3 linked regions of the Tamandua tetradactyla genome follow. The protein of the gene in region 1 interacts with the protein of each later gene in a pairwise test. Links are inferred from orthologs where the notes say so. Each region holds a gene or a part of one and is shown in the gene's direction. Other genes may lie near its edges.

Region 1 (8,273 bases):
AAACAGAAATGCAGATGGACGCCTACATTTCTAGTCATCTGTTGCTGCTTAACAAACTATCCCAAAACGCAGCGGCTGAAAATGACAAGATTCATTTCTTGAGCTCACACACCTGAACCGTGGGCAGGGCTCAGCGGGAAGAGCGCTTCTCCACTCTTCATGGCATCAACTGGGACGGCTTAGCTGGGGCTGGGGCATCCCCTTCCCGGATGGCACACCCAATGGTGGGCAGGCTGAGGCTGGCCGCTGGTTGCTCTCCACGCAGGCCTCTCCACAGGGCAGCTTGGGCAGCCACCCAGCATGGCGACTGGGTTTTGAGATCCAGTGTCCCGAGAGTCAGGAAGCGGAACCTGCCTATTTCTTAAGGCCCAGGCCGCTGTGCTCTATTGATCAAGGAGTCTCAGATGCCACATTCACGGGGATGGTCAGAGGCCCCCTTCTCTCGAAGGGAGGGGTGTTAAATTTGGGGCCATGTTTTAAAACTGCCACAGTTGCCTTAAGGTTACCTTGAGATTCTTGCCTCCAACCATATTGCTTGTGACTAATTGCCCCATCTTCAGATGACTAATTGCTTCAAGAAAACTGAACTTAAGATGCAAAACAGTGAAGATAAAGGTATGGGCAAGTGGCCTTCCTGGCTGGGTGTTCACCTGGGCTGTGGTTTGGAAGTTCCTGGGGGTCTCAGATGCAGCATTTCTGGGAGTGGGACTCAGGCAGTGGCATTTTAAAGACACTTCAGGTAATTTCAACATATAGTCCAAACTGAAGACTGCTGTTCTAGGTGATAAAGGATGGCAAAAACAGGACGTTCCAGACACAGAGAAACTATAAACAAGTGAGGAAGTCAGCACCTTTTGACTCCAAACGACCAAGGGTCTTGTTAAGAAGTCACATACGTGGTTCCTCAATAAGTTAAACACAGAGCTACCATAAGACCCAGTAATTCTAGGGAAGTACCCAGAGGACTGAAAATAGGTGTTTCAGCAGAAGTGTGTCCACTCATATTCACAGCAGCAGCGTTCTCAATAGCCCAAGGTGGAAACACTCAAATGCCCACCAACTGAGCAGTGGATATGCAACATGAGGTCCAGCCAGACGATGGGATGCTATTCAACCATGAGAAGGAACGAAGCGCAGACACATACACACTGCACCTTGCATGCTGAGAGAAAGAAGCCAGGCACCAAAGGTCACACATTGGTTGGTTCCATTTGTACGAGATGTGCAGTATGGCAGATTCATCGAGACGGAAAGCAGACGGGTATCCAGGGGCTAGGGGTGGGCGTGGGGTAGGGGGAGGTGACTGCTATTGGGGGCAGGGCTTTCTTTGCAGGGACGGAAATGTTCTAGAACAAAATCATGGTGACGGTTACACAAGATCATGAATGTACTCAATGCCACTGAACTGTACACCTTCAAAAGGTAAATATTATGTGCATTTTGTCACAACTAAAAAGAAAGAGGGGAAAAAGAAGTCAAGGAGAGTGGCAATCTGCAGACAGACTGGAGGTTATTACACGGTTTAGGCAAAGGCCCAGCCCTTGGAGCTTACGAAGTGGGCCATGGCACTGCTATGACTACTTCATTAGTAGATGCATCATCTACGTCTTTCATGTAGATACAGGTAACAACATTTCTGGGACTGAGTGTCCCCTTGTGCCAAGTGCTGCAGTAAAGGCTTTCTATGACGGGCTTCTAAACTCCGTCAGGCACCACGAGGCAGGTTTTATCATCCTACTGCACAGACAAAACAGAAAAGGTGTGTGTGTGTGTTGGGGGGGAGGTGGGCAGGGAATCACCAAGGGGCCCGTGACCGTGAGGGTCTGGTGTCAACTTGGCCAAATGCTGATGCCCAGTGGTCTGGTCAGGCACTCACTGGCCTGACCGTTGATGCAGAATACTCTGTGGCTGGTTGATGAACCAGAGGGCTGGTGGATTAAATCATCAGTCACTTGACTGCATCCATGGCTGATCACATCTGCAATCAACTAAGGCATGTGCCCCATAATGAGATAATCCAATCACCTGAAGGCTCTTTAGGGGAGAGACTCTTCCACTGCTTCTCCAGCCACGAGCCTTTCCGTGGAGTTCATCTAGACCCTTCATCAGAGACAACAGCCTTACATCCTGCCGATGGGTTTTGGACTCTTCCCTTCTCAGGGTTGCATGCGATGCCTTTATACATCTCATATTTGTAGATCTCTCCTGTGGGTTCTGTTTCCCTAGAGAGTGCTGACTGCCCCAGGTCCCGTGGAGTGGCCAACCACCAGGAGGGGATGTTCAGGGTCAGCAACACCGTGGCCAGGTGATGATGCCTGTGCCCAAGCCTGGCGACTGTCCTGGCACCATTCCCTGCTCCCTGCTCTGAACCAGACTCATCTTCAGGTCCCGATGACTCTGTCCCCTTCCCTATACGCGGACTCCACTGCGACATGGCCTCTGGCCTGGACCCAGCCTCCGCTGGCCTCTCCCCCAGCTCCTCGGGTGCCTTCTAATCCATTTTCCAGCCCTCGGGCCAGGGTGACCTTTCAAGATGCCAATCTGCCAGGCCTACTGTGGTCCAATGCCCTGCAGATGCCCCACTGTTTTGGGATAAGGATGGACCCCTCAGGGCTGGCTGGCCTCCACCTGCGTCCTGGGCCAGACCTTCGGCTCAACCCTTCACTGACCTGCGTCCTGCGAGGGACAGCTCCCTGCAGAGGTGCCCTCAGTGACCCCGTGTGAACTGAGATCCCTCCAGCCCCCATGTGCTAGACTCCAGGCCACTGTACAGGAAATTGGATTGGGTTCTCGCACTCATTGTCTGACAAGGGCAAGGGCCCCCCTGGTGACTAAGCGGAACTTTATTGGAAGGTAGCCGGCTTGGCCGATTACTACCTATCCAATTTTAAAAATCATGGCTCATCACCAGATATCAATATTTTAATAGCACCTGCCTCTATCTTAGTTTATGGGGCAGCAATATGAAAAATAAATGAACTAAAAAAATCTAAAGAGAAGCCAATGAGTTCAACATAACTGTAATTATAATTGTGATCACCTTAATTTCTGATACAGTGCTAATCTGCAATGATTTGGAAGTCTTTAGCTTTTAGTCTATTGGATGGTTCAGAATGTGTCAACCTTTATCATTCCTTCAGGCCTTCAGTCATTCCTGCCCGCCCAGCAGGGGCCTGGGGGCCGCAGGCGATGCCCACAGGAGGGGGTGCTACTGACAAGGGATCCACAAGGTTCCGACACAAGATGAAAAATATCACCTCCAGTTTATCCGCCTTCTAGTCTGACTTTCAGGATCCACGTGAAGAATTCTTGCCTATGTAAATGTGCGAGTTTTGGCAGTGTTTGGGGTGGAGGTGAGAGGAGGGGGTAAGTTTCCCCTCCACGCCCCCGGGAAATTTTCGGGGCTTACTTCTGCAGCCTCTCCTCCCCACCTGATCTGGCCCAAGACCGGGTTCCAGCTGAGGGGCTGTGAACTCCAAACTCGGCCTTTTCCTGTTTCCAGCTGCATGACCCTGCGCGGCCCGTCCGACTGCATGACCTGGCCCGTCCGGCTGCATGACCCTGCGCACGGCCCGTCCGGTTGCATGACCCTGTGCGCGGCCCGTCCGGCTGCATGACCCTGTGCGCGGCCCGTCCGGCTGCATGACCCTGTGCGCGGCCCGTCCGGCTGCATGACCCTGTGCGCGGCCCGTCCGGCTGCATGACCCTGCGCGGCCCGTCCAGTTGCATGACCCTGCGCGGCCCATCCTGCTGCATGACCCTATGCGCGGCCCGTCCGGCTGCATGACCCTGCGCGGCCCGTCTGGCTGCATGACCTGGCCCGTCCGGCTGCATGACCCTGCGCGCGGCCCGTCCGGTTGCATGACCCTGCGCGCGGCCCGTCCGGCTGCATGACCCTGCGCGGCCCGTCCAGCTGCATGACCTGGCCCGTCCGGCTGCATGACCCTGCGCGGCCCGTCCGGTTGCATGACCCTGCGCGGCCTGTCCCTCATCTGGAACAAGGGGCGATTTCGTGGTAGCCTGCAGGTCTTCCCACACCTTTTGCAGCGCGGGCCCTCCGTGGCTCTCTGAACCGTCTCAAGGCACGTGGCGGGAGGAGGCCGGGGCGCCGGGCGGGAGGCGCCTCGGGCTGGGCAAGGCCGCCCAGCTGCGCGGTTTGAGGCGGGGTCAGTGCGAAACGCCAGGTGAGTCGCTTTCTTCTGCCAACACGAAACTGCTCCGTCGCTTGTGTTTGCGAGATCGAAGTGATTCCTCCCACTGCGAACAGCGCGAAGCTCGGGGCCGGCACGGCCGGGAGGAGAAGCCGCGGCATCTCGGCGCGCAGCGGGAAGCGGGCACGTTTCCGCGGGTGTCCCGGTCCCGCGCGGTGATATGGCTCGGGGCTTTTTTCCTATGAGAACCCCAAAAGTCACACTTACGCCATACAAGATGAAATTTATATCCATATTAGTATGTCGTGCGTTTATATTGCATAAAACAGACATTATATATTACATATGAAACAAAGATTATATCTATGCGGGACGCACGGGGGGCCGCGAACGCAAGCCTCCTGAACTACAAGTCCCAGCAGCCCGTGCGGCGGGACGGGACGGGGCGGCCGGAGGACGGAAAGACTACAAGTACCGGCAGGCATGGGTCGGGCGGTGGGACTACGAGTCCCAGAATGCATTGCTAGGAGCTTGCGCAGGGCATCCTGGGATACGTAGTCACCCGCGATGTTAATCCTCGTCATCCATTTTCAAAGACCCTGCAAATCCCTCAAACGACCCACTGAGACAATCGTTCACGGACTAGCAAGGAGACCGAGTATATAGGGGGGAAATAAGAACCCAGGAGGCCACAGATCCCGTGAGGGAGTGTAGAACGCGTGCGCATGCGCACCGTCGTGTGAGCGGCGAAAAGGCGCACCGGCGGACGCGGAGCAGTAGGCCCCACCCGCGGGCTCCGCCCCCTGGCGGCGGCGCGCGCACTGAGTCTGCGCAGAGTGCGGAGGCCCGAGGGCCGCGGGGAGGGACGCGCGGCGCTTGCGCAGAACGGCGGCTTCTCTCGCGAGGACGGACGCCATTATCGCATCTCCCCGACAAACACCACGAGAATTCCGCAGCCCACACGGTAATTGCAGCTCCCGCAGCCGGTCGCGTCTCCGCCTCCCCCCCTTCCCGCGGGGCGAGAGCGAGAGCGAGATCTCCCCCTCCCTCCCGCCCTTCCGCCCTCCGCCCGTCCCTGGCCCCGGCCGCCCCGTCGCCCCCGCCGCGTCCCCCGTCGGCCCCGCCAACGGTCCCGCCCGGCGGCCTCGGCCCCCGGCGCCGCGGCCCGCACCGCCCCGGCCTGCCCTCGCCTCCCGCCTCGCGGCCCACCCGCCGGGCCCTCTTCCGCGTTCTGTGCCGGCGGGGGCCGCCCTCCGCCTGAGCTGGAAGGGGAGCTCGCGGTGCCCGGCGCCCAGAGATGGAAGGGCCTGCGGCGGGGAGCTGGGCGCGCCGCGTCGGCCGCGTATCGGTGGTTTTGCGGTTGCCTTTCCCCCCTTCCCCCGAGCGGCGTGGGGTACGTACGGACCCGGCCAGGGACGGCTGAGCGCGCCCGCTTGGCGCGGTGAGGTGTTGCCAGGCCCGGGCCGCCCCGCGCCTCGCGCTCCCCTGGTCCCCAGGTTCCCGTTAGCCGTGGAAGGGCGCCGGGGGTTCAGGCGGACCCGTTGGCCGTGGCTTTTCCCACCTGAGGGAGGCGGCGAGTGCCGGGACGTGCGGAGCCCTGGTTTGACTCGCAGGCCGAGGACGGGGCGCTCCGGGCTGCGGGCACACCGCCTGCCCTCCCTGGACTTCGGGGTCGCCCTGGGCGCATGCACGGCTCTGGCTGTAAAGTTAGGGCATGCTTGGGTTTTCACTTTTCTGGGTAATCGGGAAAATCTGGAACGCACAACACCCCCGCGTTCATCGTGTGCCATAAACGTCATGGGGTGTCGTAGACTTAATTTCTTTGGACTCTTTCTCTACTTTTTAAGTTACTAAAGTGAAATGGCACACTGGTAATCCAGAACACTTGTGATTCTGATGGTTGCAAAGGCAAATAAGGTGCAGTCTTAGAAGTAGGAAACGTCCGACTTGAGAGATGATCTAATCCAGTTGGTTGAGGATTTCGGGGTTTTTCCCCCTGTACTCTTCTTATTTCTGAAATGTAATTTTTTTGAAATGTGGCTTTAGTTTTTTCTCCCCTTCCCCACCCCAGGCTGCAAAAAGTAGATGCAAGTTCCATTTCCCATTATGTGAGCACAGTGGAGACACTGCCTTAATAGAGGAGTAATTTCCGAATGATGAGATGGTAGGGATTGGGTTGGCATTGGAGAAATGAATGCTGCCCGAAGAACTGTGACAACTGTGGCCTTTCAAGGATAGGGAGCTTGCCTTTAAGTTGTGGAGGGCCAAGTTCGAGTCTCCCGATGTGGGACAGGTAATTCCTCTCTCTTCTGCCCCAGGACTCAAGGCCTATTAGCTTTGATAAAACTGGCACTGTAATAAACTTGATGAGAGGAGACAGGAGTTAATTGTTCAAGAGACAGAAAAGAACCCAGAATAGAGCTAGTGAGGGGCACATTCAGTCAGAAAGTAGATGGCCCAGTGATTTAACATTCTGCTTTTAGGACAGTGTGTTGTGTGCCAGCTTATGATCTGGAGTGGTGAAAGGAAACACCAGAATTGCCTGTAGCGTTAATTCTACACATATACGTCCATTTTCTTATTGTCTTGCAGTGGGAAAGGGTTCTGATGCCCAGGGGTCCACTGAGACTGTTGGATTCTAGTATTGTTGGCTTTACTTTTTAAAGAAACAGCTGCCACTTGCGGATCATATACTGTGAGCTGGGCCTTTCAGATGTGTTCCAACCGATTTTAGTCCCAGGACCAAACACGCCAGGCAGAAGATTACCCATGAGATTTAATTAAGGACTTAAAAACAGGAGACAATTCTTCCCAGTGGCAGCTACTTCCCAGTTGGGAAATGGAAGAAGTGCTCCACACAAAACAAGAGGATGCCAAGGGGCAGCTTATAAAGTTCGGCAGAGTCCTGGAAGAGCCGCTTAGAGCAGGGCTTGGGCAGACTCCGAGAGTTGGTTACCGACCATGACAGGGGGCGGCAACCTTCAGTGTCCGCTCTGGTCATGCTGGAGCTGCAGCATGTGCTTGAGGCTCCATTCATTCTTTCTTTCCCTAACCCCTGGTAGGAGCTGTCCCCATTTCACCAATGAGGAGACTGACACCCATGCCGGCTGAGTGCCGTGCCCGAGTCACATAGCCAGTGTTTGAACCCACCCTGCCAGAAGTGTTTTAAAGGAAATAACACACACCCACAGTGAGCATTTTTTTTTTTCATTTGAGTAAGGTACACAAGAAAAGTAGCAGCCCTTGTCCCAGTTCTTGGTACCCTTCCTCAAAGACGTGAAACTTTTATTTGTTTCTTCAGATAGTTCTCCATAGCTCAAGGTAATAACTTTTGTCCATTTTACCAACTTAACTTCTGCTGTGATGGGCCGGTTTATCTCCCCATACTATATCCCCTCTCTTCTCTCTCCTCATGTTCAGTTAATGCAGTTATCTATAGCATGACTGATGAAAATATTGTTTGCTTCACAGCTGCATGATGCATTTGCCTTCATGTACAGCTTTCGTTTTTTTCTTTTTTCTGTAAGGTCCTTTCTTTCTCTTCTTAAATAATGTTTTAAATTCTCAAGGAGAGTATCAAATCTCCAACCTGGAGTCCTCTGTCCTCTTTGTCTAATTACTCTTGACGCCCTCACAGGTATCATCGTGGATTTTTTCTTTTACACACTTTTGGGTTTGTTGAGGATAACTTGTCTTAAACTTGGCTTCTTAGTTTTAATGAAAAACCTGCCAAGAAGACTTCTATTCCTTTTGGGTGACTTTCTCCCTCCCGACAAGATTTTAGCATCTTCTCTTTGATGTTAGACATTTAACAGTGTGCCAAGGGATGAGGGTTTGTGCTCTGAATGCTCTCTGCATCTGCGTCTTTAAGCTCTGGGAAATTTTTTTGTATCATTTAAATGAGAATTGCTCCTCCTTTTTAGGGATTTGTTTTAGTTTAATGACGTATGTTTTGGATTACTCTGTGGAGCCTGTCATCTTTACCCTCTGTGTTTTTATTTCTGATTTCTGGGAGAATACTTCAATTTTATCTTCCTATTCGATGAAAAATTTTTAAACTTCCACAACCAAAATTTTAATTTCCAAGGACCTACTTGTTCTTTTCCTTTTTCATAGCAACCT
Region 2 (7,846 bases), on another chromosome or scaffold:
TATCAAAGATCAATAGTCTGTAGATGAGAGGGTCTATTTCTAAACTCAATTTTATTCCACTGGTCAGTATATCTATATTTTTGCCAGTACCATGTTGTTTGACCACTGTAGCTTTGTAATATGGTTTAAAGTCAGGTACTTTGAACCTCCCACTGCATTTTTCTTTCTCAAGATATTTTTAGCTATTTGGGGCACCGTGCCCTTCCAAATAAATTTGCTTATTTTTTTTTCAATTTCTGCAAAGTACGTTGTTGTAATTTTAACTGGTACCCATTGAATCTATAAATCAATTTGGGTAGAATTGATACCTTAACTATATTTAGTCTTCCAATCCACAAACACAGATGGCCCTTCCATTTATTTAGGTCTTCCATGAGTTCTTTCAGCAATTTCTTATACTTTTTTGTGTATGGGTCTTTTGTATCCTTAAGTTAAATTTATTCCTAAATATTTTATTCTTTTAGTTATTATGGTAAATGGAATTTTTTTCTTGAGTTCCTCCTCGGATTGCTCATCACTAGTGTATAGAAACACTATGATTTGAGGACACTGATCTTGAACCCTGACACTTTGCTGTACTCATTTATTAGCTCAAGTAGCTTTGCTGTAGATTTTTCTAGGATTTTCGACATACAGTATTATGTCATCTGCAAACAGAGTTTCACTTCTTCCTTTCCCATTTGGATGCCTTTTATTTCTTTTTCTTGTATAATTGCTCTGGCTAGAACTTCCAGCAGAATGTCGAATAACAATGGTGACAGGAGAGAAGCTGGTGGGCTTTTAAAATGCCTGTGCTGCCTATGCAAAAAAACAAAGCCTCTGTCTTAGGGCTGCAGGGAATGGCTTTTCAAAGAGTGCCATTTGCTGGTCAGGCCATGATAGCACAGCCTTAGGTAACCAATAAAAAAGCTTTATGGTGTCTCTCCTGACCTCCCCAGGTCCCTTTGGAACTGCTCTGCACCCGCTTTGTTGTTCTGTGTCCCTATTTTGGCTGAGAAATGCTGTGAATGAAGTGTCAAGGGAGAGCCTTAACACAAAGCCAATCAATAACAAAACAAGAGAAAGAAATTGGCCTTCACAGTAAACTCATCAAGGTAACTAGGTGTGTAGAATCCACAAAAAATCACAAGCCATGCTAAGCCATATTAAGAAACAGGGAGATATTTCCCAGTCAAAGGAACAAATAAAAAATTCAAAGGATATAAAGAATTTGGAAAAACTAATCAAAGATGTTCAACAAGTCTCTTAATTCAGTTCTAGATGAAGGAAAATAGGGCTAAAGAGACAAATGATATTAAGAAGACACTGGCTGAACATAAAGAAGAATTTGAAAGTATGAAAAGAAGCATTTATGGGAAAGAAAGGCACAATAGAAGGGATTAGAAATAATCCAGAAGCATACAATAGCAGATTTGAACAGGCAAAGGAAAGATAAAACAGAAAAAGAAAGGCTGTTGAATTTTGTCCATTGCCTTTTCTGCATCAATCAAGATGATCATAAGTTTTTTCACTTTAACTTACTGATATGGTGTATTACATTAATTGATTTTCTTGTGTTGAACCAGCCTTGCATACCTGGAATATATCCCATTTGGTCATGGTGTATAATTCTTTTAACGTGCTGTTGGATTCGATTTGCAAATATTTTGTTGAGGATTTCTGCATCTATATTCATTAAAGAAATTGCTCTGCAATTTTCTTTTCTTGTTGTATCTTTGTCTGGCTTTAGTATTAGGGTGATGTTAGCTTCATAGAATGAGTTAGGTAGGCTTCCCTCCTCTTAAATTTTTTTGAAGAATTTGAGCATGATTGGTACTAATTCTTTTTTGAATGCTTGGTAGAATTCACATATGAAACCATCTGGTCCTGTACTTTTCTTTTTGGGCAGCTTCTGATGACTGATTCAATTTCTTTATTTGTGATTGGTTTGTTGAGTTTGTCTATTTCTTCTCGTGTCAATGTTGGTTGTTCATACCTTTCTAAGAAGTCGTCCATTTCACCTACATTATCTAGTTTACGGGCATAGAGTTGCTCATAGTATCCGCTCATTACCTGCTTTATTTCTGTGGGGGGCCAGTAGTTATGTCCCATCTCCCATTTCTGGTTTTATTTATTTACATTCTTTCTCTTTCTCTTTTTTCTTTTCTTTTCTTTTGTCAACTTAGCTAAGGGTCTTTCAAGTTTATTGATTTTTTCAAAGAACCAACTTCTGGTTTTGTTGATTTTCCTGATTGTTTTCATATTCTCAATTTCATTTATTTCTTCTCTAACCTTCATTATCTCTTTCCTTTCATTTGTTTTGGTGTTAGTTTGCTGTTCTTTCTCTAGTTCTTCCAAGTAAATAGTTATTCCTCAATATTTGCTTTCTTCTTTTTTAACACAGGCATTTAAGACAATACATTTCCTTCTCAGCACTGCCTTTGTTGCATCCCATTAATTTTTATATGTTGTGTTTTCATTTTCATTTGCCTCAAAATATTTACTGACTTCTCTTTGTATTTCCTTCTTTGACCCACTGGTTGTTTAATAGTGCATTCTTTAGCGACCATATGTTTCTGGCCCTCAGCCTGTTATTGATTTCCAACTTCATTCCATTATGATCTGAGAAAGTGTCTCATATAATTTCAATCTTTTTAAATTTCTTGAGATTTGCTTTGTAACCCAGTATATGGTCCACCTTTAAGAATGATCCATAAGCACTTGAGACAAATGTGTATCCTGCTGTTGTGGGGAGTAATGTCTGTAAATGCCTGTTAAGTCTACTTCATTTACTATTTTATTCAAAATCTCTGCTTGCTAAGTTGTCCTCTGTCTAGATGTTATATCCAAAGATCAGAAATTTCAGGTAAGATTAAAGACAGTGCTCCATTGATGAGAGCAGGCAATCGAAGTCTCCAATTATTATGGTAGATGTGTCTATTTCTCCCTCAGTGTTGTCAGTGTTTGCCTCATGTATTTTGGAGCACTATGGCTCAGTGTATAAATAATTATGATTGCTATGTCTCCTTGTTGAATTATTCCATTTATTAATACATAGTGTCCTTCTTTGTCTCTTTTAATAGTTTTACATTTGAAGTCTAATTTGTTGGATATTAGTATAGCTATCCCCTGCTCCTTTCTGGTTTTTCTTTTTTTTTTTTGCATGAAATATATTTCCCCAGTCTTTCACTTTTCACATTCATTCTTAATAAACTTTATATCTGCTTTGTCTGTGCTGCATCGTGCCCTTGGATTCTTTCTTGCGGCATGGCCATGGCCCGGGAAACCAAATATGGTCACACTTACGTACTAAGCTAAAGAGTTTAATCATTGTCCTGAAAACAAGGGGGGGTCCTTTAAAAGATATAAATTAAGCAGAAAAATAAGGAGATCAAAATTGTCTTTTAGAAAGTTCATGTCTGTTCTGGAGAGCAATTTGACAACTTATCAAAATTCTTTAAAATTTAATTTTATTTGTGAAATTATAGTATGCCTCCCCTTTCTAAGAAGTGAAATATGTACTTAAACTATGCATACATTTTTTTCTTTTTTTCCACTAGCATCTAGTAGAAATGGAACACAATCTTTTTTTCGTTTTGAAATACTTTGTTTAGTCAGGTGCTCAGATACCAAAGAAAAACCCTTTATGTATGCAGTTTAGCTAGACACTCTAAGACAAAAGTTCCAAATAAAAATCTCATTAGTGCTCTCTTGGAAAGTCAAATTTTTTTCTGATGCTTCTTGCTATTCAATGTTAAGAAGTAAAAACCTTTATCAAATTGTTTTCTTTCTGAGCTTGTCTGTACTCCTCTAAAAATTTAACCTTTATCCTTACTCTACTGTATAGACCTCAAGGTTGAATAACTGCTTGAAGGCATGACGCATGTTCAGTAGAGAATATGTGGTTGTTTAATTAGTACCTAATAAATGTAAATGAACTTAAAGTGAAAGCTCTAGATTATTTTCCTTCCTTCTTTCTCACTTAAAGCTAAGTTCTTGTGATTCATGCATTATAAATGCTCAGCGAAAATTTTTGGTGTTGAAGAAAGCAATTATACAAGAGAAAAAGACAAACAGCACTTCTCTATTATATATTTCATTATATTGCAGGCATTATTCATCGCTATTTTGAAAATAATATTTAGATGGGAAATCACTTGGCATATTAAGTGAACGAAGGAGAATACAGAGAAGAGGAGTAGATGCTGACTTGGGTTTGGGTGGGTGATTGTGCCATGCCTGAATAGGAAACATAGATTTCAAGGGGGAAGAAGATGAAGAGGTTTATTCAGGCTTGATGATTTTGAGATTCTAAGTAGACCCAGCAGACAACAGGAGGATCTGTCCGTTGGAGGTGGTTTCAGCTGGGAACACAAACTTGTGAGTCATAGTATATAATTGTGAATTGTTTTGAAAAGGAAACCCATGGAGAATGTGCAGAGAAGCATACTGAACAAAGGTTACAACTCTAGCTGTGGTGAACAAGGGTGGAGAGACTGAGATGCTGAGAGCAAGGAGGAAATCAAGAGGGTGTGACCTAGTGAAACCAAGGGATGAAAATTTCAAAATGAAATAAATATGGCCAAGATCAGAAATTTCAGGTAAGATTAAAGGCAGTGCTCTTTGGATCGCTGATTAAGATCTCTTCTGATCTTAATGAAGTTTTTTGGGGGGTTGGAATGGTTCAAATAGAAAGCAGATTGCAGGAGGTCAAGGAGGGAGAACGAGGTTTGAAAGCTGAAACAGTGAATGAGAGCTACCCTCTCAGGACACATAGGTGTAAACAAAAAGGGTGTAGACCCATAACTAGATGGTGATATAAGTAAGTTTGTATCTCTGACACTTTGCTTCCTCAGCCTGCCTGTCTAGCAGTGGTGTCATGACAATTAAAATCTATTACTAATTGAATGTACTTGTGTCGTTTCACTGAATCAGAATCTGTTGCTGCTAATCACTATGTTTTCCTTTTCATAATGTCTTAATCATCAAAGTCAAGTGAATAATAAAATATAGGGTTGATTGGCTCTGCAATTCCCCAGCTCAGGTTCTTTGATTGTATACCTGAGTTTGACCTTCAAAAATATTAACATATAATTCCTTTAGCATTTAGAACAAGGACAGTTTAGATTTGGTCTGGGAATTAATGGAGTTAAAGCAAAATATTTCTTCCCTCACTTCACCTTCCAAACTGAAGAAATGGCCTCAAATAAAGATTCTGTGAGCAAGAGCAAAGGCCCCTTACTTGTTTTCTGGTTCATTGTGACCCACTAATATTATTGTTCTAGGTTAGTTCAACATCCAAGCAATTCTTCAAACCCAACTCTTAAAAAATCTCTAGCCATTTTCTATGTTTTGAACTGAAGATTTTCAAATGACCAGATGAGTCTGTGCTTATTAAGTCATACTGCCACGGACATGACATAACAATCGTTGCCACCTCAAAGGGAAGTGTGCAGAAGCCCGGAATGCTAAATCCATACTGCAGGTCCAGCAAGCAGGTAACTACCGTGAGTTATTCTACTCAAATCCACACAAGGTTCAAAGCTCCCAGATTCCCCAAGAAGGCAGTGATAGAGGCCATAACCCCGGGCTCATCTCTCAAGATACTGAGAACTCTGAAGGTGAGAACATGGGGCCTCATCTCTTCCCAGATGGCGCAACAGAAAAGCTCTGTGTTTCAGCCACTAACCTAAATAGAAGGATTCTAAGAGCCACCAGAAAATACACAAAACAAAACAAAACCCAGATGGATCAAGAAAACAGAAAATACACTGTCCTTTCAGTGATTATTTTTATAAACATGCCCTAAATGTAGCTTGATCAGTAGAATTTCATGTGTGCGTGTACCAGCACACTGTGTGTTTTAAGCTTTTTGGAGCTTATCCAGATATTTAAAATACTAATCCTGGCAGAATATCCCTGTAAGGATATAATGCAGAGAATTTGCTACTTGCAATTTTAAGTAAAATTGGAAAAGGAATGCTTTTCTAGCCTAGTAGGAGTCAGCTATTTGCACGTCACAGGACTTGGGCCCTCCTATTTTCTCCTATAAAGTTGCCTCTGGGAGGAACCCTCATTTAGCACCAGCAGCTCATTCTGTTCCTTGTTCTTTATGTGTTGGAAGAAAAAAAATTACCGTATATTCGCCTTCTTTCATACTGTTCAAGTCACAGGAAGAAGCTTTAAGAAAAAGTGAGTTATTTTTTCCTAAAGGTTCCTTTGTATTTTGTTTATGTGGTATTTTGACTTCTATATATATATTTTTTAAGTGCAAGTGATTTTGGTAAACTTTCCAATGACTAAGAGAAAACTTTTACTTGACAAGTAAATATAAATCTTGAAGTTTCTATCTTTGAAACTTTTTAAAAGTCATTTAAGCTAAGTATTATTGAATTTTGAAATGCTGAGCTTTTAGATTTCTCATTTTGATGACTTGCATATGGAAACTTATAGTCTCCAGTTAATTCTCTGGAGTTGCATTCTTATTTCCTGAAATGGTCAAATACATGGGGGGTATAGTTTCGTTGTCTTAAAAAAGTGTGTGGGGGCAGAATCTGGGACTTATTTGAATGCATAGCATTATCATGGAGGGTATTTTATGGCTGGATATATATTTCCAGAGCAAATTTTGAAGTCATTTATAGATTTTAAGTAAAACGAGTTAATTATATTCCTGCTATGTTCAATAAAAAATCTGCCTACTTCCCAGGAGCAGGAATAAAAACAAGTCATAATCTTAGGGTTCCTAAGATTGAATTGAAATGTCTGTGGGTCTAGCCCACACAGATATACAATGTGCTGCATCATTCTAAAGTCTTATATCTTGAACCTGTGATACTTTTATTTAAGCAAAAGCATGCATTCCATATGTGTTTATGCTTTCTCCCTCACTGTTTTAGTCATACCCTCTTTGATGTCTGACATCCATTTGAAAACTTAATGCAGCGCCTCTGCTGTCAATATGTGCTTCAGAAATGTGGGAACAAAAAAGAATCATTAATAAAATGTATCATTCTCATATATAAAATGTTAGAATCCTCAAGTCATCTTAGCCATGTCGCATCCACAGATACTGTCGTATATAAATTCCAGCATTTTATTAGCAAAGGATAAGGATTTAAAGTTTAACACTAATATTGCCGACATGCATATCAGACAAGATATTTCATAAGACATTTGTTAAGATACGTGCCTGAAGCTATAATTCAAATTGCTTGATAGGGAAGGTAACTCTGATGTCTGTTTTTCATGCACGTTCCATTCTTCCCCACATTTTATCATTAATTGCCAATTCTGGGAGACTCCCACCCAAACAGGAGTAACAGATTTAGATTTTAACGTAACATCACCTGACAGTATACCTCTTATTTTTGTTACATTTGTTACATTTGCCAACTACATTTTAGTAAAGCTGGATTAATTTAGATTCTTTAAGCAAGCCCAGTAACTTTCTACTATAATACTGAAAATAAATGTTTATCTAGGACATTTTAGAGAAAGTTGGATTGTTTGATTGTTTTTATGCTTCCAATGTAGAGAACATGATCTCTTTAGAAACGAAAAGCAAATACTTTGTTTTCACGTGGGAAGTTTTGAGTCAGATGTCAAACAAGCTTGCATTTTCATATTCTTGTAATTGCCTTTTTCCTCTCTGATTGCCATCCCATTTCCTAGTCATATTTTGATACGACAGAAGGGACTTTGAAGAGGCAGAAGAGGACTCCTTCCTCCTAGAACATCTCAAACCCCTCCATGCTTGAGGGATGATCTCCACATCAAACCACTTTGAGATCATAAATCCCTTTTAGACTCTGATGGGAGCAATGAGCCCTCTTCTCAGAAAAAAACTAATAGTAAAATGATTGTT
Region 3 (8,113 bases), on another chromosome or scaffold:
CCTCCCGTGAGCTGACTTTGGCTGTTCTTGACCTCATGGTTTCTACTTGGGCATCACGTCTAACGCCCCACGGCCGCGGTGGGGCGCCCAGTCTCTCCCCTTTTCTCTCCGTGAATCTTTCAGTTTTTGCAAAGCTTGCCAGCTAACTTTTTCTATCACAGGCCCAGTTCATATGGCCAAGTATGAGAAGACTGGCCTGTTTCATTACATTCTCACCCACAGAGAAGCTGCCCACAGGCCAGGCCTGCCACTCGGCTCAGTCCATAGACCAAATATCCACTCCTGGGCCAGTCAGCTGCGGCCAGGAGAGCGGGTCAACTGGAAGGCACCTCCCAGAGCAGGGGGCTCTGACGGAGGGGAGCTACTGGCACAGACAAGTTCTGAAGTTTGGCTTTTGCCCTCTCTCACTGTTTTTTTTTTTTTTTTTTTTTTCCAGCATGGGCAGGTTCCGGGAATCGAACCCGGGTCTCCGGCACGGCAGGCGAAATTCTACCACTGAACCACCGTTGCCCACCCTTCTCTTACTTTTTAATTAAAATGCTTCTGAATTTAGGTTTAAATGAGTAGGTGTGTTATGAGAAATTAACATAAATTACCTTTTGCTTTTTAATTTAGAAGTCAGTTTACAATCCCAGATTCTCCTCTCTTCCAGATATGTCTATATTTGATACCTTCTTTATACCTAAATTAAATGATAATAATCACATCTATCCCAGAGTTCTTCATATATTTAATTTCCTTAAGATATTTTCAGTATGATACACACTAGGAGTCTTTCCTTTACCTGATAAGTAATATATCCTTTTCTTTCACTCTCAGCATTTCAATGACATTTTGCTACCACAAGCTCTGTGCTAAGAATGTTTGCAGATGTGTCCCAGGAAAGACAATCAGGATTCAAATTAGAGTACCTACAAGCACATTTCACTGTTATCTAGAACTAACAGGAAAATCAAACTCGGCTCTGACAAATATCAATAATAAAAATCTTGGCCAAATCAATGGTAATGTCATTTTGATACTTGGAAAAACATGGAACACACAATTATGTAGGTTTAAAAAATCAATAACTTGACTCCTACTTAAAAAGTAAGATAATACATTAAAATGATGATTTAAAGGATCGTTCATTTAGAAAAATCTCTATGGATAGATTCAATTTTACCTTAAGACTTGTGCCCACTAGCACACATTGCAATCCAGGGGCCTGAGGTTAGAGAAGGAGTTTGTGGCTATAAAACAGATCAAAACTAAGTAGCCATTAGGGAATGGAGTTTCGTCCTTCCATCTCATTAGCACCCAGCTTTACGGAGTGAATGAGCTCTTCAGTGATAGCATTCTGACACCCAGCAGATGGGTGGTTCTCACTCCTTCCTTAAAATTCCTTTCCTCCATATCATTTATACTAAAATGTGAAGGTGCTCCCTGCAGGCCTTCCTAGAGGAGTACGTGCCAGAGGGCAAGTGTGAGCAGTGTGCCTATCAGGGCAGGGCGAATTTAGTGTTAGAAAAAGGAAGCGTAGGTATCCAAACTGAAGTTCACAGACGGTGGAGGTGACAAGATGGAGAGAGGTTAGTGTGGCCTGTGCCTGGCAGTGCTGATGGAGAGCCCCATAATGTCTCTATAGAGTGCAGTGACACGTTCAAACATCTCCCGTGTATAGTGACTTCAGGTTCAGAATATTTAGGAGTGGAATAACTCGAAATTATTTTGGGGGGAAGTCTGGGCATAACAAATAAATATAAAGAAAAACAGAGCAGTGAGCTAAAACTTAATTTGGGCTGCCAGGGAGGTTATAGACCACCTGCCCTCGGCCTGGAGGATGGGTTAGCTGGGCGACGGGCGAAGGGGGGAGGGTGGTGGAGGATGGTGACAGTAAGTGGTGCTGGTGAGAAGGGATTCATCATGAATTACTAGGCCTTGACTGAATGGTGGAAGCGTGTAGGGAAGGCAAAGAAGCTTCTACCAGTATGTTACCATTTAGGGAAGAGGTAGAGAAATATCCTGTAAACAGGATCTGTTAATATGAAGAATAAAACAATGTCATCTAGATTCCAAGACAGTATTCTGCCTGTCTCAGATGGCAGCATTGAAGGATTGTCTGTGGACAAAAAAAAAAAAAAAAAAAAATGGTAGCAGTCTTTAAAGCTATCCTTTCAGGGAGAACCTCCAAAATCTTTATCACCCTGAACCACAACACCCTGGGAACAACTGAGATGAAATTTTTTGAGGTGTTTCTCATGATTTCTGGAGGGAGAAAGAAAATGCGTTGTGGAGACCCTCCACTCAGGCTTATTTTTGTTAGTGAGCCTCAGCAGATGAGCAGTTCCCAGGCAGGCTCTGCTCTGCACGGGCCCATGTGCTCAGGCTCCCTCTGATTCGATCACCCTCCCACCTACCTTCTTGGGGGAAGGCTGAGCCCATAAGCCACTGACCTCTGTCCTTCCAGGATTAGCTTAGCCATCACTTCTGCAAAGCCTCCCCGCAAGACCATAAATGCTCCTGGCTTGTGCTGGCTTTACACCCCATACTTCTAGCATTTACCATGCCATCATGCAATGTCATATTAACTAGATGTCTCTCTCTCATCAGGCCAAGTTCCTCGTGGCCAGGGCAGTGTTTCGATCGTGTTTATTCCCAGCAGCTTGCAGACTCCTCAGAGCACATGGTAGAAGGCCAGTTTGTGTTTGCAGAATGTTGACCTGATACCTCTGAAAATACACCTACAATAGACATATCATCTAGAAATTATACTGAGGGAACGAATCTAAAACGATTTTTTTGGAAAGAGGACTTTCAAATTACTTTTAGTCTATTTGGGGTAGGGTCTTGGGTTTGCACATAGCTCCTGGCCTTGCTTTCCTTCTCCTTGTGTGGCCTGTTTTCGGTCATGACACTGCTCATGATGCCAGAGCCAGGGAGAAAAGCGGACAAGCCGAAACTCCCATCAGTTCCGTAGGCTGCGCCTGAAAGGTACGATGTGGTGGGTGAAATCGATAGCTAGCCCTGGATTGGGCTTATCCACAGTTCTGGCTGACCAAGCCTTCTGCACTTCACACCCCTCTTTCAGCTTCCCAGGGCTTGTCCTTTGTCCCCAAGGAGAGGCCGAGCCATATATCCAGATTTTTGGCTCTAAGAATTCAGCCACCATACCAAAAAAGAAAGAGTTGGGTGGTCTGCTTCTCTAGGGTAATTTCATGGTGCTAAGGAAAGACTTGAACAATTTATTTTCTGAAACTGGTTCAAGAAACATTCCTTAAGTGAAAAATTCAATCAAGAATAATATTTCTTACACTTTGGAGAAGGATTTTTAATACAGAATTCCATCTGTGATATATTTAAATTCTAGGCCTCAGGCAGCAATTTCAGAAAAGGGCCTCCTTCACCCTGGGTTAGATGCAAAATAAATATCCGGGGGGGGGGGCTCCCCCATTTCTGAAATCGCACAGGCTATTCTTTTTTCTCGCACAGCAAAGTGTGTTATTGACACGAAAATGTTCACCACAACTTCGATTACGTGAGTCTTTGTGTAAGGACTTGTGTCTCGGAAGACGGCCTTGCTAGAGCCGGCCTGTGTGAGGAGAGGAAAGCTGTCCGTGCGACCCGTACTCTCTGCCTGGGTTTTGATGTGTTAACAAAGACAGGCTTCGGTATTTGGGGTGTCTGAACACACCAGGACGAAAGTCCTCCACTTGCTTATTGCTGAGGGCCCTTCGCGTTGATTTCGGAGCCGATCCGCGAGTCTCCCCATCTCCCACGGTGGAGGCCTGGCTAGTTTACAATGTCCGTGAAGACAGTCAATGCTGAAGGAGGACGAGGAGCACGCAAGGTGAAACCCCGCACTTGGCCGCGCAGCCTTCGAGGCCCCAGTGAGGGGGGTGGCGGAGGGGCTCATACTCTGCCAGGGCTGAAAACTTTCTTTCCTATTTTCCTTGGCCTGTGCGCGCACGTGGCCTCGGGCGAGTGTCTGTGGGGACGAGGGCCCACTCTTTAACGGCTGAATGCACACATCCAGCAGCACATGGTGGATGAGCTGCTCTGCGAACTGCCTTAAAAAATGTAAAGTGAAAAACAGACAAAGAGAGCTGTCACCTTCGCCGCCCTTCGCGTTTGTTTTGCCCGCCCTGGCCACGGCTCGGAGCCGGGCCCAGGCCGGGAGAAGGTGCACCTGAGGCGGCGCGTGCGTGCGGGCCGGGCCGGGGTGGCGGCTGCTCTCCAGCGCAGGGCGCAGGCAGGCAGGGCGCAGGAAGGGCGCCAGTAGGCAGGGCGCAGGAAGGGCGCGAGTAGGCAGGGCGCAGGCAGGACGCGGGCAGGCAGGCAGGGTGCAGGCAGGCAGGGCGCAGGCAGGGTGCAGGCAGGCAGGGCGCAGGCAGGGCGCAGGCAGGGCGCAGTCAGGCGCAGGCAGGCGCAGGCAGGGCGCAGGCAGGCGGGGAGCAGGCAGGTCGCAGGCAGGGCGCAGGCAGGCAGGGCGCAGGCAAGGCGCAGGTAGGCAGGGCGCAGGCAGGCGGGGTGCAGGCAGGGCGCAGGCAGGCAGGGTGCAGACAGGCAGGGCGCAGGCAGGCAGGGCGCCGGCAGGGCGCAGGCAGGCAGGGCGCAGGCAGGCAGGGCGCAGGCAGCAGCCGGGAAGCGGCCCGGCCCGCCGCGGCGGCGGCGGCGGCGGCGGCGGCGGCGGCGGCGGCAGCGCAGTTTCCCTCTCCCCAGCCAGGCTCCACGCGCACATGCGCACTGCGCCCGCAGCCCTGGACCATTTGTCAGGACTACTCGTGAGACCGAGAAAAAAAAAAGAGAAAATTTGGGGGTAAGAAGCGGCTGATCTGATCGAATCGCTCGTTAATCTGCAGATCTGTACGTGCCAAAGGCATTCATTTATTTTTCTGGGTGAGGATGAAAGTTCCGAGCGCTGCCGAGGGAAGGAAGCGCACCCTGCCCTTGTGAAACAGACCCGGGAGGGGAAAGGACAGAAGGGGTTTCTCCCCCACTTCTCTCCGCCTCTGGGAAAGAGGAGAAAACTTAATCCCGGGGAAAAAAGTGGGCAAGTGACTCGGAAGGGGCTGGAGGGGGAGTCCCCGGGCATCTCCCCGTGAAGTAGTGAGCGCGAGTGTGAAAGAGGAACAAAAGAGCGAGAAAAGAGAAAGGAAAAATGGGGGGGAGGAGAGACTTGTCTTTTTTTCGGTGCGCGCACCCGGGGAAGGGTGTGGGGGGCCGTGCGGAAGGGAGCCGGGCGAGGCGGCCGCGGCGCGCTCTGCGGGAGGGCCCCCTCCCCGCGCGCCCCCTCCCCCGAGCCTGTCACTGGGGTCCCTCTCCTGACGCCGGGCGCGGGCGGGGGCGCGTGCCGGGTGGGTGCCGCGGGGCCGCCGCCGGGGCGGCCGAGGCGGGCGGGGGCGGCCGGGCCGCGGCTCGGGGCGGCGGGAGGCGGCCGGCCCCGCGCCCGCCCCTGCGGCCCCCTCCGCCCGTGTGTGGCCTTTGTGCCGGGCGCGCACCGGGGAGCGGCGGGGCGAGCGCGAGAAGTCCAAGTACGGGAGACCGAGGCAGTGGGAAAAGAGGCCGGGCCACTTTCTCCGCACTCGGGCTGCGGAGAACGGACTGGTTGAATGTGCAGGCGCGCCTGCCGGCGTGTGCTGGGTGTGCGCGGCGCCGAGGCCTGCCCGGCTCCCACCGCGCACACGCACACTCACACGCACGCACACTCACACTCGCGCGCGCACACACACACACACATACACCCGGACCCCGCGGCGCGGCGCGGCCCGGCGGACCCGAGTTTGCGTTGCCTTCCTCGCCGCCTCCCCCTGCCCGACCGACTGTGTGAGAATTTAATAGAGAGCAGCTCCAATTTCCGCCATTTTGGGAAAGTTGCACAAAAATAAACCCTCCGGTTTATTTCTGCCGGGGCCGGGAAAGTGCCCGGGGAGGCGAGGCGGCGCGGGCCCGCGGCGGCCGTGCGCGCGGGGAGGCGCCGGAGGGCGCGGGCCGGGCCGGAGCCGGTGCCGTCGCGGCGTTCGCCCCGCGCCGTGTCGCGCCGCGCCGCCGGGGGCTGCGGGCGTGTGCCGGGAGGCGGCGGCGGCGGCGGCGGCCGGGAAGGGGGGCCGCGGGGGGCGGGAACGCGGGGCCGCGGGTCCTGCAACTTGTTTACGCCCGCCCGAGCGCCGGGAGGCGGCCGGGGGTCCGCGCGGGGGCCGTGCCGCGGCCATGGGCTTTGCACACTCGCGTCCTGGGCCCGGCGGCCGGGCGGGCGGGGGAAGTAGAGGCCGGCGGGGTGTGTGGGGGGGGACCGGGAAGCGCAGGAGCCCAGGCATCCGCCGCGCGCCCCGCGAGCTGGGGGAGGGGACCGGGGAGGGGGGAGAGGGAGGAAAACTTGAGAGCCCCCGAGACGTGGGGGGGCGGGGGTGGCGGCGCGGTGACACGGGCGGGGGGCAGGGTGCAACTTTTGTGCTGGTGGTAAAACTTTAATTACCTTTAAAGAAAAAAGGCCCAATGATCTGGGTTTTCGGGTCCCCCCCCCCCCACCTTCCCTCCTTCTGGTCAAAGCTCGGCCCACAGCGCGACCGTGAGAGAAAGTTGAAAAGCGGGCGCTTTCCTTCCCGCCCGCCCGCGGAGGGGTAGGGGTGTCTGGCTGTCTGTCCGTCCGCTCTCGGGGGGAAGTGGGGGTTGCGAGCCGCCCCACGGGGTCGCGAGGACGGTGGCACTTACCCCACCCTTCCACGGGGAGACGAAGGTAAACGTCGCTTTGGTTTCCCTTCACAGTCCCCCCCCCCCCCCGCTTCCTTTTCCTCCCCTCCCCTCCGAGTTTTCGAGGGGACCCGAAAAACGGAGTCTCTCTCCTTATGCAACTTCCTCGGGCGCCGCGACCGCGGCCTCGCCTGGCGCTGCATCCCCGGGCCGCGCCTTCCCACCCAGGCCGGCGCCCGGGAACGCCGCCGAAGGTCGCTGCGAGCGCGCAGAAACAAAAATAGACGAATTGTTCGAAGTTGAGGGAAACTGAGATAAGTGGAAATGGGGGGTGGGGGGCGGGGGGGGGAGGGGGAGCGCGGCTGCGGCGGGCGCGTCGGTCTGTAATTTTGCGTTCCTCTGAGCGCTGGGATGCCTTTGTGGGTCCGGGAAGCCCGGGACCGAGGCTCGGCACTGGGCAGCCGCGTCGCGTGGGTTTTTGCGCAAGTTTTTAGAAAAACACTGACTCGAGTAGAGCATTTCCCCGGAAAGTTTCAAGTGCAGCAAAATCGCGAACGTGCAAAGCTGGCCAAGGGGGGACCTCTAGTGGCTGACCGCGGGCGGAGACTCGCAGGCCCAGGGCAGAGTTTGGCCTTTTCTCGCTCGTCGGTTCCGACGTGGAAGTGGCCAGCCGGCCTCGGGGCGAGCGGCCGTGCGCGGTGTGGGAGGATGCTGGTGGGAGAGGAAGGCTGGCGAAATCCGAGAGCAGGGGGCCCTGAGGGTTCAACCCCTCTGACTCCCCCATCCCCCTCCCAGGGAGAAAGACATTTTGCTTCCATTCTGGGCTTTGGAATTGGTATTGTGTGCTTTTCTGTTTCAAGTCCTCTGTGTCTCTGATTCGTTTTTCATCACGAGTCATAGCAGATATTGCATTTGGAGTGTTAATAAAAGTACGGGGTACAGTGTGGGTTTAAGGACAAAGTCCTTTGGCTGAAGTTTTCCTTTCCTTTGAGCTGATCAGTGTATTTTCTAATAAATATAATTTTAGTGTGGAGTTTCTTGACTGTTTAGTTAGTTATAATACATGTGAATGCTTAGAGAGTTATAGCGTATACGGTCCCTTTTAGTTGTGAGAGTATTACTTTGTTTCATTAAGAAGGTATTTTTGGAATACTTTGTATAATTTGTGAAACTTAAATATATAGCAAAAATTGCTTACATAATATCTGTTGTTTTGCTCGTGTGTCTTGTAAAGTATCTTTAAAACTAAAGCAATATGGGACATTAAAGCTGAATCCAGTGATTCCTGAACTTTTCACCTGTTTGTCAGGTCATGGGAGAGGCCTTAGTGCAAGTATTCAGCACGTGGGACTATTTTGAATGATTAAAACCCATTTCACCTCATCTCAGACTAGTTGATTTTATTTTGATGTGCACAGTGGCTTGGGGTGAGATGATGCAGATG

What was found. The genes of interacting proteins can lie anywhere in the genome.
Region 2: the proteins of BANP (region 1) and FHL5 interact in binary tests that used the Homo sapiens proteins (3 or more experiments, as listed by UniProt). The two-hybrid records come from large-scale screens. The link is inferred for Tamandua tetradactyla from reciprocal best matches to the Homo sapiens genes BANP and FHL5.
Region 3: the proteins of BANP (region 1) and L3MBTL3 interact in binary tests that used the Homo sapiens proteins (3 or more experiments, as listed by UniProt). The two-hybrid records come from large-scale screens. The link is inferred for Tamandua tetradactyla from reciprocal best matches to the Homo sapiens genes BANP and L3MBTL3.

What each region holds. Positions count from the first base shown.
Region 1 is NC_135342.1:82,347,356-82,355,628, forward strand, and holds the start of BANP (protein BANP), read left to right. Parts: upstream 1-5,001; 5' UTR 5,002-5,115; intron 5,116-8,273. UniProt on the Homo sapiens protein: Controls V(D)J recombination during T-cell development by repressing T-cell receptor (TCR) beta enhancer function. Binds to scaffold/matrix attachment region beta (S/MARbeta), an ATC-rich DNA sequence located upstream of the TCR beta enhancer.
Region 2 is NC_135331.1:153,896,167-153,904,012, forward strand, and holds the start of FHL5 (four and a half LIM domains protein 5), read left to right. Parts: upstream 1-4,436; 5' UTR 4,437-4,580; intron 4,581-5,339; exon of another isoform or gene 5,340-5,600; intron 5,601-6,103; exon of another isoform or gene 6,104-6,171; intron 6,172-7,846. UniProt on the Homo sapiens protein: May be involved in the regulation of spermatogenesis. Stimulates CREM transcriptional activity in a phosphorylation-independent manner.
Region 3 is NC_135331.1:191,514,577-191,522,689, forward strand, and holds the start of L3MBTL3 (lethal(3)malignant brain tumor-like protein 3), read left to right. Parts: upstream 1-4,703; 5' UTR 4,704-4,798; exon of another isoform or gene 4,799-4,845; intron 4,846-5,706; exon of another isoform or gene 5,707-5,805; intron 5,806-6,538; exon of another isoform or gene 6,539-6,715; intron 6,716-8,113. UniProt on the Homo sapiens protein: Is a negative regulator of Notch target genes expression, required for RBPJ-mediated transcriptional repression. It recruits KDM1A to Notch-responsive elements and promotes KDM1A-mediated H3K4me demethylation.